Pelodiscus sinensis: one gene and its partner. The protein of the gene in region 1 purifies or fractionates together with the protein of each later gene. This does not show direct contact. Links are inferred from orthologs where the notes say so. Each region holds a gene or a part of one and is shown on either strand. Other genes may lie near its edges.

Region 1 (7,293 bases):
TAATGCCTGCAATGCACTGTGAAGATGAACTAAAATAATTGGGATCATAAAATAAGATTTTGTATATCAGTGCTTTCCTGTGCATCCAGGCCTATCCTATAGGTGATTCACACTCAACAATGACAAAAAATAAGAGTCAAGTAGTTTCACAACCCCAAACCACCCTAAGTAGTAAGAGAGGCAATCTGGCCTAGCAGTGACTCAGTTGGGAGTATATAATGTTTCATCATGGATCTCAACATTCAGGAGTAATTTTCACTGCCCCTGCAAAGACTGAAGCCTTCGCTACATTTCTCCTTGTGTAGACAGAGAAAAATCACAATTTGCATTGGTGCAGTTTTAATCTGCTTGAAACTGGGGGAGACCGCGGCCTTCCTTGTCTACAATAGAACTTAATGCTGATGCAGTGGTACCAACACTGAGAATTAGGTTAATTCCAAGCATTAACAAGTCCCAAAAGACTTGGAAGATGCTAAAATAACAAGGAGTCCTATGTTACTTTAGGGACTAGCTAGGGAACATATGGTAGAGAGCAATATTTAAACACCACATTAATAACAGTCCAGGAAACTTGCAACTTGGTCACGTGCAACTTACAAGTGGTTTGAACTGGCCAGTCTATCTTGAAGTCTATTTTGCTAAACCAAGTTATTTACCATTTCTTTTCATAAGCAGTGGGAATTCGGTGTCCTCTAAGAGCATGTCTACACTGCAGAAAAGGTGTGTTCTTAATTTGGGTTACTTGTCATGCCCCGGGTTAAAATAGCAGTCAAGACATAGCAACTCTGCTTTTATATTGTGTTATGGGCTCAAGTTAAAGTCTACAGAGAGTCTGGAGCTGGACTTGAGCTATTAACCTGAGTTGCCAGGTCTTCACTGCTATTTTAATCCAAACAACCTAAGTCAAGAGACTTTTTTTTTTTTAAACACTACGTAGACATCCCCTAAAACGCTATTACAAACTGTACTCTACCAGCATGCTAGTCTTTATATTTACTGACCTCCAAGCATTACCTATCCTGCTGAACCAAACAGGTGGAAACCAAGCACCACAGTTTTATTGTTAGGTTAAGCATGAGCAGGTGGTGAGGAGCTATAACACTCACTTTCCCTCACTACCTTGTGATAAAATTACAAATGCCTCATCACCACGTTGTATTTTACAATGCTGTAACTAAGGCCATGTTATCATCATGGTGTAAAAACCAAAATGAATAAAAACCAACACAAATGTCACCTTTGTGTCCATGATGACAAAACCCTAGTTCATCACCTGTGTGTGAATACATGTGCAAATATTGTGCATCTGAAGGGGCAATGAGAACCCCAGACAGAGCTTTCATTCACCATCTGACAATCACTCAGACAGGTACAGCATTCCCACAAATATCACCACCAGAAACCTGTATTTCCAGGAACCCTGAAGGATGCACAAAGTTTAACCTTGGGGCATTAATGTGGGTCACAAATATTTTGATTTTATGTCTAACATGCCTCAAGCGCACAGATCAGCTGTTGGTGACAAGAGAAGTCAGACTTGTGGTATAATGGTAACTGGCCGAACCAAAGACAGCAACAAGTTTTGCCAGGGCTGACCCCCATCTAGCACTCCACTGAAATCAGTAGGGCATTGTGCCCAGGCAGGAGTGGATCTCATTTTGGAACCAGGGCCTAATGTTGCAAGTACTGTATTGAAGAAATAAAAGCCCCGATATATATTTGATGGAGCAGAACACTTAAATAAACCATACTAAGATGCCTGAATGATCGCTACAAATACCTCCTAGCCCCACAATAAGAGGAAGCAATTGCCAATTCTCCCACTGAATTAGCCCTGTTGCCCTGGCCAAATTCCAACCAGGGTAACACCCAACTTTTGGGGAAATGTCATGGAATGAACACACACACAAAACACTGCCCGCCATACCTAATGCCTACACAATAACCCTGGCCACAGAATCTCACCAACTAAAAAAAAAGCAACTGTGCTGACTGATATTACCAGTATAGATCCGAAAGTATTCAAAAGTATCTTAACACCTCCCCACAGACCCTTCTCCAGCAGCCTAGGGCACTTCAGCATCTCATCCTCACCCCCTGGTGAGCCTTCTCCCACACCCTCCTTTCCTCTTCCTTGCCCCCATCCCAGGCCCTGCCCCAGCACCCCTCCTTGCCTCATCTTCCCCTCACTGTAGGCCCTTTCCCAACACTCCCTCTTTACCCTTCCCCAGAACCCCAGATCCTTCCCCAGTATGCACCCATCCTCACCCCTCTAGACCCTTCCTCAGCACCCTCTTCATCCCTAACCTCTCTCCTGGCCCTTCCCCAATGCCCCTCCCCAGCACCCCCCCATCTAACCCTTCCCTCTTCAAGCCTTTCCCCAAAGCCCCCCATCCTCACCCCTCCCCTCACAAGCCCTTCCCCAGCGCCCCCCATCCCCGCCCCTCCCCCCACAAGCCCTTCCCCAGCGCCCCCCATCCCCGCCCCTCCCCCCACGAGCCCTTCCCCAGCACCCCCATCCTTGCCCCTCCCCCCACGAGCCCTTCCCCAGCACCCCCCATCCCCGCCCCTCCCCCCACGAGCCCTTCCCCAGCACCCCCCATCCTCGCCCCTTCCCCCACGAGCCCTTCCCCAGCGCCCCCATCCTCGCCCCTCCCCCCACGAGCCCTTCCCCAGAGCCCCCCATCCCCACCCCTCCCCCCACAGCGCTCCCCATCCCCACCCCTCCCCCACGAGCCCCTCCCCCCACAGCGCCCCCATCCTCGCCCCTCCCCCCACAGCGCCCCCATCCTCGCCCCTCCCCCCACAGCGCCCCCCATCCCCGTGTCTCCCCGCGGGGCCCGGCCCGGGGCTCTCACCGTCATAGTAGTAACAGACTTTCCGCTTGGTCCCCTGTGTCAGCGCCATTTTCCTGCCGCCCGAGCGCACCAAACCCTCCCGCAGCGCAACCGAACGCGCCCCGGGGGCCAAGCACCCCGCGAGCTGCTCCTCCCGCCCCCGCGCGGGGCAGCCGGCCTATCGGGGAGTGGCTTGTACCCACTTCCTGAGGAATAGCCAATGAGAAGTGACGTAGGTCGGGGTGGCGGCATTAGCACGGTAGGTAGAGCGCAAGTGTTCCTGGACTGTACCACTCTAGAGAAGGGGGAGAAAAAGACAAACGGGTTGGCAGGACGGCACCACTCCCGGAGAAGGGGGGGTCTAAACAGACAGGAGTTTACCACTGGTGGAGGGGAGAGGGGGAGAGAGATAAAGGAAAAGTACCATTCCTCAGAGAATGGGAGGGGAGTTCAGACAGAAATGTATCATTCCCCCAGGAGAGGAATCTGGGCTGAAAGGACTGACCTATTCTCACAAGAGGGGTGGTCTGGGCAGCAAGGACTAAACCACTTGACCCCTGCTGCTATGACATCACGTGCCACATGGCTGCACAAGACATTCCCATCTAGATTCTAGTCCCTTGCTAGGGCCAGCCCACAGTGCACCGCCCAGGGGCCAGGCATGTCCATAGGCCTGGTTGCAATGGGCTGGAGGTAGCAGAAGTCCCAGAATGCACTGGGGCCAGCATGACTGTAGGGGAGGGGACATTATGTCTGCCCCAGGTGGGGGTAGGGCTGGGGTCATGGGGGGCAGTGGTCTCTGTAAGATGGGCAGTTGCGCAGCTGTTCTGGAGAGATTCCAGTGCTGCCCAGCTGATTAGCAGAGCACCCAGATCTAGTTGTTTTGTTTCTACTGGTGATGCACATAAAATGTATTCCACACATGAATGGAAAAAATCCACACATGGATGGGAAAGATTAGAGGGAACATTGGTGGGGGGATGCATTCAGGGGACCACCATCGCCACCAGATGCTTCAATAATACACAATCCCCTGCACCCGTGGAAAAAAGTGAGCTGATTTTTCACACTTGCTGTCCTCACCTTAGTCTGTGCAAATGAGGCAGCTATTTGTTCATGTCACAACCCAGCTCTTTCACCTAGGGACTGACCAGTGTCACCACAGCTTCTGCCACATGCCAGTTGTGCTATACCCTTGCAAGACTTTTTTGTTAATCCCCCCAAAATATGTTTCAGTGTGTGTGTGTGTGTGTGTGTGTGTGTGAGAGAGAGAGAAATGTGACACTTGGGAGTTCAAAAGACGATATTGAAAATGAGCTGAACAAACATGAATTGTGGAGACAATATGTGTTAAGTGGGTTTCCTGGGAATCCCTAGGGAAAGCTTAATACAAATTCCCCAATCCTTGTTATGCAAAAAACAGCCTTTTACACCCTGATTGTGTCTACATTGGCATGATTTTGCACAAAAACACCCGCTTTTGCACAAAAACATTCTGTCTGTCTACACTGGCAGGGAGTTCTTGCGCAAGAACACTGACATTCTAATGTGTGAAATCAGCGCTTCTTGCGCAAGAACTATGACGCTCCTGCTCAGGAATAACCCCTCTTGCGCAACTGTTCTTGAGCAAGAGGCCAGTGTAGACAGGCAACATGAATTTCTTGCGCAAGAAAGCCTGATGGCTAAAATGGCCATCGGAGCTTTCTTGCGCGAGAGCGTCTACACTGGCATGGATGCTTTTGCAAATCTCTTGCGCAATGGCACATGCCAGTGTAGACGCTGTCTTGCGCAAATACTTTAACGTAAAAACTCTTGTGTTAAAATTATTTGCGCAAAATCTTGCCAATGTAGACGTAGCCTCTGAGGAAAGGGTAAGTGTCTGTGGATTGACCTGTTACAGAGGGCCAAGCGCAAAGGTGAGCGCAGCATACAGACACAGCTGATCAGCCCAGCCTAGGTTCCAGTTCTGGATCTCTGGACATGAACTTGTAACTGCAGGAAACATTCAGTTGTGGATTTTGAAGGACAGACTCCTGCCAGAGCCTTAGGCTGGAGTGGGAGGGGGTGACCTCTAGCAGACTTTCTAGCTTGCACATAGCTTCTTTTATTAATGTGTTTTTGCTGTACTGTAGTGCTTTTACCTTAAGAATAAATGTGCTGGCTTAGCCAGAACTGGGTGATAACCTACCTACACCTCTAGGCAATACACTGGGCCTAGTTCCTAGAGAGAAAGCAAAGCATAGTGTGCTGGCCTGCTAGGCAGCCTGGCTTGCTGGGAATATGTAAGCCAGGGAGCAGTGTAGTTTAAAATCCCTGGACAGGAAGGGATGAGATGCAGGTCTCCACCATAGAGAGGTGATAATTGGTAGCCTGAAGCCTAAAATAGATCACACAGGGTGACTACTGGCGGAGGTTGCCAGAAATTGTGACACCAGCAACCCCTTACTGGGCACTGTCTGAAGTCCCCCCTCTCACCCTGCTAGGTGTTAAGTTTGTCCCAACTGAGCCCCCTGCCCGTCCCCAGCTAGTGCCAAGTGTGCCCCTCGCCCTCTGCCGAATGCTTCCTCAGGCCCCCACCCCCGCCCAGCGCCCTCACTCCCATCCCACTGGGCCTGACTCGGGGCCTGGCCCGGTTGGGCTCCCCCTGTGAGGTTGTGAGCACACACAGCTCCCTGCGGTCAGCCATCGCCCTGCTTCGGGCCTGATTCTGTGTCGTGCTGAGCCACCCACCCCACACAAATAAATCCACCCACGCCCGGGGCTCGGATCCCGCCCGCGCGGCACTGGAACGGTCTTGCACGACTGGCCCCCGCGGCAGAAGAGAGGGGCCACTCCTCTGCCGCTCGGCATCTTCAAGGAGAGCCAGGAGCCCCCCCTCCACCTCTGTATACACCCAATGTCAAGCTCGCCCCCTCCCACCCCCTCAAGTGGAGGACACGGGTGCCGTTTACCGAAAGGTGTTTGTTTACTGAAAATCAAAGAGCAACACAAGACAGGGCTTTAAAATACAAGGGCAGGGGGGGGATCAGAGTCCTCACAGGCTGGTCATTCAGAGAGGCTCGTTCCAGGGACTTGAGAAGGTTTCTCTCCCACAAGCCTTTTTGGGGGACTATGTAGAACCCCCGAGGGTAGGTGTGGGTCCACTCTAGAGCCACCACCTGCCAGCCCAGCCTGGGGTCGAATTCTGAGCCCCCCTTCTGGAGCTAAATGTTGTGGTTTGAGCCTGTCTCGATCCCCTTTTCAGGGCACTAATGTCACGGTCAACGGTGCGGAGAAAACAGAAGAGATTTCACCTCTGCAGCTCCTGCCAGGTGAAACAGCCTCCTCTACCTCTCCACACTCCCTGACTCATCAGGTCAGCTGCAGTCTGAGCTGAAATGTCTCCTTCTCCGCCTGCTGGTTTGCTCCTCTCTCCCTTGGCTACAATGGTTGCACTTGGTGGCGGTTTTACCAAACGTTTGGAAGGGCTCTGGGAAAAGTGATTGACTTGTGCCCATACCATAAGAACTAGCAGTCGCCAAATGAAAGGAATAGGTAGCAGGTTTAAAACAAACAAAAGGAAGTTCAAAAAAGAACTAGATAAATTCATGGAGAATGGGATGGGCAGAGATGATGTCACGAGTCTCTGTCAGAAACTGGGAATGAGTGATGGAGAAAGCACTTGATGACTCCGTTCTATTCACTCCTGCTGGGTGTCTGGCACTGGCCACTGTCAGAAGACAGGATCCTGGTCTAGATGGACTTTTGGTCTGATCTAGTCTGGCCGTTCTTACATAATACTTCACACAACGCACAGTCAACCTGTGGAACTCCTTGCCAGAGGATGTTGGGAAGGCCAGGACTTTAACAGGATTCCAAAAAGAGCTAGATAAATTCATGGAGTATATAGGTCCAGCCAATGCTTTTTTGGGGATGGTACTGCCATGCAGTACTGGCACCTCCAGACGCAGTACCGGCCCCTCTAGTCAGAGCTCAACAACTTTTCCCCTGTAGTACCAGCACCTTTTTTTTAAAACAAAAAAAGCACTGGGTCCATCAATGGCGATTAGCCAGGGTGGGCAGGGATGGTGTCCCTAGCCTCTGTCAGGCTGGGAATGGGCGACAGGAGAGGGATCACTTGCTGATTCTCTGTTCTGTTCATTCCCTCTGGTTCATACCTGGCGTTGGCCCCAGTCGGCAAACAGGATGCTGGGCTAGATGGACCTTTGATCTGACCCAGTTTGGCCGTGCTTATTTTCTGTTCGCACACCCCATCGCGTGACAGGCATTGTTCAGAGTCATGTGGTTTCACAGTGAAAATCAGCAAGAGCGCAGGGCAGGGAGCAGCAGCTTCGTGGGCACTGGGTCGTGTTCGGGGGTGTCCCGGAGACCGTCTGGCTCTGGCGCAAAGAGGGTTATGTTGCACAGTGGGGGAGTCCATCGATTTGTACGCTTTGATCACAGCCCTGAGCGTGAG
Region 2 (7,542 bases), on another chromosome or scaffold:
TTGTCTCTAAAGCCTGTCCTTCATTTTTTCCCTCGATGCAGCTGCAACAGTGAGTCTGTTACCCACTTCCCCTAAGTCCTGCAGCACTTCAGCTATCATAGATCAGACAGCTAAAAAACATGACATAGGATAACATGTTTCATGAGCAAATGCTATTCACCCACATCAACGGGGCACAACTAAATATAAGAAGACAAACAGGTTGCTACACAGGGGGATTGTAATAAACCACTTGCCATTGTGCCCTCCACCTCCTCCCTGCAAGACTCACACACTGACCTCCTTTTCTTTCTCTTTTGCCTGGGTTTCATAAATAGAAACTAATGATTTTTGAACAGGAGCTTTATTGCTTGTGTCAACTGCATGTGGGTGTGAGTGAGGGGAGGGTTAACAGACCTGCACATGTAATGCAGGGGGTACCTGGTTAAAAACAATACATAACTGCCACATCACTGTCTGGTCATTCACGAAACCAAAGAATGGTATTGGAGAAATGAGTAGGAAAGTTTTTATCCCTTCAAACAACAAAAACCAGAAGTCAGATAATGAAATTATTAGACAACAGGTTTAAAAAAAACATAAGGGATATTACTTCAACACAGTCAATCTGTGCATCTCATTGCCAGGTGATGTTGTGAAGGTCAAAACTATACTGGGTTGAAAAAACAATCAGATAAATTCCTGTAGAATATGTCAGTCAATGGCTATTAGCCCAGAATGTCAGGGACTCAACCCTATGCCCTGTATGTCCCTCAACCTCTGACTGCCAGAAGCTGGGACTAGACAACAAGGATGGATCAGACAATAATTACTCTTTTCTGTTCTTTCCCTCTGAATCATCTGGTATCATTCACTGTCAAAAGACAGGATACTTGGCTATATGGGCCACTGTTTTAATCCAGTATTGCCACTGTTAAGTTACTGTGAAAAAAATTACCATCAACACTTCAGCAAGCTCCTCAGCCAGTTCTTTTAAAATTTTATCTGAAGCCTTCGATTTATAAATATCTAATTTAACATCCTCCAGAGTAGGGATGTAAAATCCTGTTTAACTGGTTAACCAGTTAACTGATTAAATGTAATGTTTAATAATGTTTACCTGATGAAGGGGGGGTGGTTAGACTGGCAGGGGTACTGGAGCACCCCCTCCTTTCTCTCCTCCATCCGCTCCCCACAGAGGCTGCCACAGCCAGCCAGAAAGCCCTTGTGTACAATGCGCATGTGCTGGGCCCACCACAGATAGGCATTGCTCTGGTCGGTCTGGAGTGCTCCAGCCCACAGAAGCCCCCACTAGTAAACCAAAACTGATAAAACTCACACATTAAACCTTATCAGTTAACTGATTAACCATTCACATCCCTTCTCCAGAGATACCAATGGAAGGGAAAAAAATGTTATCACAGTCCAACTACATTTGGGGTAAAACAGAAGATAGAACAGAAATATTTATTGAGCACTTATACTTTTTCCACATTACTATTCTACCTCTTCCATCTAGTAATGGACCAACACCATTGTCATGATTATTTTTGTTCCTCATATATTTTAAGTACTTACTTAACTCTGCAGGCCAAAGGATTCTCCTTGCATTCCTTGGCATTTTCTACAATTCCTCTCAGCTTCTCATACCTTCCATTTGTTATATATAATTTTTGTATCATAGCCTTCACTTCCATTCTATTGTTTTTTTTAACCAAAACAACCTTCTCTCTCAATTGTGGGACTGTGGGTTTTGGGAATCTCAACTCAAGACTACTTCTACTGTATTATGGCTCCAGCTAAGACTAACTTCCTAAAGTGTTTTGCATGATTAACAACGACAAAAGCAAAAGAAGTGATGTTCACTATGAAAGTTGCCAGGAAACTGAAGTCTGAGCAAAGAAACTATCAGCTGTGAAGGCTGAAGAATATTGCTCCAAATATTTATGTTCTGTGTCATATTTTTATCTTTCTATTCATTTAATGCACTCTCACTGTTGTGCTTAAAATCCTCAATGCAACCTTGTTTCTCTCTATGGTGAGTTCTGAAACCAACATGCAAACCTAACTCTGAAGGGTGAATTATCAAGGTGAGAGGTGTGTGATTCTCAAAACCATCTTAACGTGAGCCACATATGGTGGCTATTTTTCCTTAACAATCCAGAAAGAGTTTGAACATGTCAACAAATATATGGACAAAAAACGTTATACACATATTGCATTTTTTTAAAAAGCTGCACCACTTCATTCTGTAAAAGCAGATTTCCTTCACTTTCACCAAAATAATTCATCTTTTCAAAGTTAAACTATTTGAAAGTAAAAAACCTAGAGTTTTTGGCATTAAATGGCAGCAGGGAATTGAGACCTATCCTTCAGTGCCCAAGCTAACAGCCTGTAACTCAAAAGAAGCTAAAGGAAACTTCTTCACATTTAGGAAAACTGCTTCTCTTGAAACAGAAGTGTAAATCTGGAAATGTTACATCCTTAACAGTCTGCCAAGCCAATGCCGTGCGGGAGCTAAACACAAACTTTACCACAGGATACTGCTGAAACCCCAACGACTGTCCTCCCCCCTCCCCCCAACAATGCCAGGTCTCGTTTATCACGGCTCCACCCACACACGGCACTGGGCACGCGAGGCCGAACCGCGACTGCTGCACGCGGTACCTGACAGCGGCACGAGCACCCGCCCCAGGGCCCGCTCAGCAGGGCACTGCCCCTACTCACGCGCGCGCCGCCGGCAACGGTCCCGCCACGGGCAGGGTGACAGCGCGTGCAACGGCTCTCGAACTGCTCCAGCAGCGCCCGGCCCAGGCCCCGCTCCCCAGCGGCTGCCGCACCAGCCCCGAGACCCCCACACGCCCGTCGCTCGGCTCTTCCGGGCCACTACAGCCCTGCCGGGCAGTGGCAGCTGCGGCGCCCGGTCCCTCCGCTCTGGTACCTTAGGCCCGGCCTGCGGCTTCTCCTCTCGGGCCCGAGGCGCGCGGGCGCCCCTCCCCTCTCGCCCGCCTGCCCAGATCTGGCCGCTGCAGCGCTCACTGCGGCTGCGCGCGTGTGTGTGTGTGTGTGTGTGTGTGTGTCCTCTCGACGCGTCGTTTCCGGCCCCGCCGCACAGGCCCCTGGGAGATAGAGTCCCCGCAAGCCGCCAAGCGTGGGGCTCGGATACTCTCCGATCGTTCCACGCGACAGGCAAGGTCCGGGCCGAGAGGACTAGCTTCCCAGAATGCAACGCGTCGCCTCTGTGCGGCCACGCGCTAGCGGCTAGTGGATGAACCGCAGTGGAAGGCGCTGTGGCCGGGGGCGGGGGCCGGCCGGGCGCGAGCGCAGCGCGCGAGGACTGGGCTGCGTCATTGTGCCGCGCCTCGTCTCGCCGCTGGTGGCGCGCGCCGCCTGCTATCCCAGAATCACAGGGGGGGGGAGGCGGCGCCGAGCTGCTCCTAGGAAGCCTGCGCCTGGTGCCAGAACCTGCACCCCTCCCCCGCGCAAGGAGAACTGGAGCCTACGCGCGTTTCCTGGCCCCGCAGCCGGGAGAGCTTGGGAACTAGCTGCAGCGGGTTGGGAAAGAGGCGCCAGCCCTGCGGTGTTGTGACAATAACCACACCCGACCCGCAGCGCACACAGCTGGAGGAAGAGGCTGAGGCTGTAGTGCAGTGAATAGGCTGAACCGTTTATTTATAGGAGGCCTGTGTTGTCTGAAATTGACCATTAACTGCTATCATATTCCAGAATGCAATCCAGGGCAGTGAGTGATTGTGTCGTTGCCTGTCCTGCAACCTAAGGTGCCTCCTAGGGCTTTGCTGTTGTAGCTCACAACCTGGATCACTCGTGAACAGCCTGCAAGCATGTCTCTGTATCTGCTGCCTGCCCCCAACCCTCTTGCACTCTGGCTTCCACTATCCTTGGTTATTACTTGCAGTGTAACCCCAACACACTCCTTGCCTTGGATTTTCCCAAAAATGTATGCTATGCAGTGTCCAACCTTCTCCAGACAGTCCAGAGAGTAGAGGTCTGTTCTTAGTATTCAAATCTGCTACTTTAAGTGGAGTTACCACACTGTTTAGTTTGACATAGCACTGGATTTGTTTAGATTAAAATAGATTTTATGTAACTACAAGTACAAGGTGAGTACAAGTATGTGACATTAAAGACAGAAACGTTTACAAGAGAAATAAAGATGAAATGCTTTCTAGTAACTAAAACTTAAACTAGACTTAGTTCAAGGTAAGATCCTTATCACGTGTTGCCAGTAATATGTGTGATCAAATTCTCTAGTCTGGATCCTTCCTCTCACACGTGCATCTCCATTAAGTCCCAGGTATGGTTCTTTTGTCTTCTAAAGCAAAAGAGAGGGACAAATGTACTGGGGGACTTTTTGCCTCTCACTTTTATAGTCCAGTTGCCCTTTGAAATGGGATTCTTCTGAGAATTAACCCTGAAAGCAAAGTTTATGCAAAAGGTAAAGAACGAAACCTGGAGTCTGGGGATTCCATGAAGGAAGTTTCATGCTGTTTCTTCTCTTTATATAATGAAATATAGATTTGCCTTGTCTGCTGCTATTTCCCCTTCAAGCAGTCTCAATAACCGTATTTACTACATATATACAAATTGAGGTAAACACATTCTTTTGATTAGTTTAGACCGGTTAAACAACTTTTGTGGTAATATCATACAGGGGAAATTCATAATGCTACATATAATGTTGCTACATACATTTCACCATAATATTGACCAGCAAGTTATTAATTTTCAAATGATACTTCACAAGGCATATCTTTCATAACAGTTGTTGCAGTAGGATGCTGAGTGTGTCAACAAGAGTGCATTCAGTCATAATCACTTACTGCCATTGCCAAAAGAAGCCTGGCAAACACCCCAGCCTCCAAGAGTACACAGATTCTTTTTGCAACTACACATGTATAATTTACAAATTATATACAAAGCTGGGAGAGATTTGGTGCCTGCAGAAATTAACTAAAGCATTTGACTAAAAGGGGTGCAAAATACAAAGCTAGATTTTTGAACTACTCAACCCTATTTCTTTAAAAAACTGCCCCGTCTCAGACAAAATGTAGACTGTGATTGCCAGAGCTGCTGCTCAGGATGAGACCCTGCAGAAAGTAAATAATATCCCAGGTTGCTAGGGCAGCATATACTCAGCTCTTATTAATTTTAGCAAGCAGCATTCAAGAATACAAGGAATTTTGTTTAAAGTTGCGAGGATGGTACAAAATATGTTTTTCTTTTTATATTAACTAACCACTGGCCAGTTTTTCTTCCACTATTTGATCTGAGGAAGTGGGTCTGGCCCACGAAAGCTCATCACCTAATAAACCACCTTGTTAGTCTTTAAAGTGCTACATAGTCCTATTTTTTGTTTCAGCTACACCAGACTAACACGGCTACATTTCTATCACTATTCTATTATGACCCAGGAATCCTTTGGTGCCAACTGGCAAAGGGCAACAGGAGACACACAGGCTATGTCTACACTGGCAGCTTCTTGCACAAGAACAGCCCTTCTTGCACAAAAACTTGCCTGCTGTCTACACTGTAAATTTACAGTACAGTGTCAGAAAACAGGACTTCTTCTAGAAGAGTTATTCCTCTCCCCAAGAGGAATAAGCCCTCTTGTGCAAGAGCTCTTCCACAAGAGGGCAGTGTAGACAGTCAACATAAATTTCTTGATCAAGAAACCCCTATGGCAGTGGTCCCCAACCATTTGAAGCTGCCGGGTGCCAGGGGGCGTGGCCATTCGCCTGCCAGGTGCCAGAGGGCAGGGACACTTGCACACCCGGGGGCGGGGCCGTGCATATGCCACACCCCCATGAGCCACGTGCCTGGGGCCAGCAACCCTATGCGCCGCGTGGCCACAGGCTCTGTCCTTCCCCCCTTGGGTATTCATTATCGGACCTGTGATTCTCGCGACACGCTGCAAAGTCATAAGGTGAGCTGTATTTATTACGTGAGGGTGTCTTTGTAATCGATTTCTAAGTTCTAGAATGTGCATTATGATTTAATTTACTCATTTGTTTCCAGTACTTTCACTTGCTACAATTTGAATCCTTTGTTAAATAAGCTTCTTGTTTTCATTCTACATATATCTGAGCACTATATGCTAAGCAGAGCATTGATCTGATGTGAAAGTGGTAAATTGAGGAGTTCTGTTCCTTTGGAAACAGTGAATCTGAATGTCATCAGTGTCCAGCGGCTCTAGAGCTGGACTCTCCAATCCAAGGGGATGCTTAGAGGATTTGAAGATTGGAGTGTACCTATCACTAACCTGTAAAGGGACAGTGGGGCCTGTGAGGCCTAGAAGAGAGTATATGTGTTGTCCATAACAGGATTTGGGGAGCTGATTCCTGGCAGGCTCAGTCAAAACTTTCTCACACAAATGACAGGTGATAGTGAGGTGCTTCACAATTCTGAGTACCCTTAGGGTGCATCACACCTGCACTAGAGCAACACTGGTGTTCAGAGCATTCCCTGGGATCAGTGCACATGAACATGCCTTGGTGCACATAAACATGTATTTTGCACCTGGATGGAACAAAATCTGCACATCAATGGAAAAGATTAGGGAGAACATTGCCTGGATTAAAGTCCCTGCTCCAGATCAGGGATCTGAATTTGGAATTTCAGTAATGCATATGTGAGTCCTATTGAAGCAATACATACCCAGATTTCTTGTCCTCACCCATATTTTATGCAGAGCCCCAATCCTGTAAGCTGACTCTGAGTATACTTACAGGATTGAGTTCCACTGGTGAAACAGACAAGGGAATTAGGATTGCCAGGTGTCCGGTATTGCCCCAGACAGTCCGGTATTTTCACCTTCTGTCCATTAAAAAAATTTCGGAAAATACCGGACGCCTAAAATGTCCGGTATTTTCTGATTTTTTTCCTGGCCAGGAGGCAAAAATACCGAGTGCTTACCTGGTTCCGCAGGGGAGCAGTCTGGCCCGGAGAAGGAAGACAAGATGGTAGATGGCTGTTGGCAGCCTGCTAGAGCCAAAAAGCCTTAAATGCGTTTCTTAAAGGGGCCATGCTTTTTTTTTTTTTTTTAAATTAACAACTCTCGGGGTCCTTTTTTTTTTTTTCTCAACAACTTTGGTCTCTCCCTTTATTTTCCTCAACAGAATTTTTTCCCCAGGTTTTTTTTTGGGTAGGGGATGTTTCAGTATTTTTGGTTAAGCCATCTGGCAACCCTAAAGGGAATGTCTTGGCTTTGGCTTCAGCTAGAGCTCTGAATAGCTCATTTAACTCTGGCAGGGCGGATTAATGTTTTGAGGGACTTAAGGCTAATGGGAAGGAAGGGCCTAAGTATGTTGCAAAAAATTATGAAGTCATCAAACATTTATCTATATACATATTTACATAAACTTAACACATGTATTCTACCCTCACTACACTTAAACATTTTTTCCACCTGTAACTATGGCAAAGTCATGAATGATTTCATCATAATTCAAAGACTTGACAATTTCATTCTCAGTGCTCAAGAGGGACAAAGCACTGAGATGCTCTTGCATTGTGGTGGATCAGAGGACATTTTTTACCCTGGTG

What was found. The genes of interacting proteins can lie anywhere in the genome.
Region 2: the proteins of HDAC1 (region 1) and KPNA1 purify together in Homo sapiens (affinity purification with mass spectrometry; 3 studies listed by BioGRID and IntAct, with this or other methods). This does not show direct contact. The link is inferred for Pelodiscus sinensis from reciprocal best matches to the Homo sapiens genes HDAC1 and KPNA1.

Annotation. Positions count from the first base shown.
Region 1 is NC_134735.1:3,687,891-3,695,183, reverse strand, and holds the start of HDAC1 (histone deacetylase 1), read right to left. Parts: upstream 3,021-7,293; 5' UTR 2,908-3,020; coding exon 2,859-2,907; intron 1-2,858. UniProt on the Homo sapiens protein: Histone deacetylase that catalyzes the deacetylation of lysine residues on the N-terminal part of the core histones (H2A, H2B, H3 and H4).
Region 2 is NC_134711.1:138,989,214-138,996,755, reverse strand, and holds the start of KPNA1 (importin subunit alpha-5), read right to left. Parts: upstream 3,049-7,542; 5' UTR 2,921-3,048; intron 2,905-2,920; exon of another isoform or gene 2,707-2,904; intron 1-2,706. UniProt on the Homo sapiens protein: Functions in nuclear protein import as an adapter protein for nuclear receptor KPNB1. Binds specifically and directly to substrates containing either a simple or bipartite NLS motif.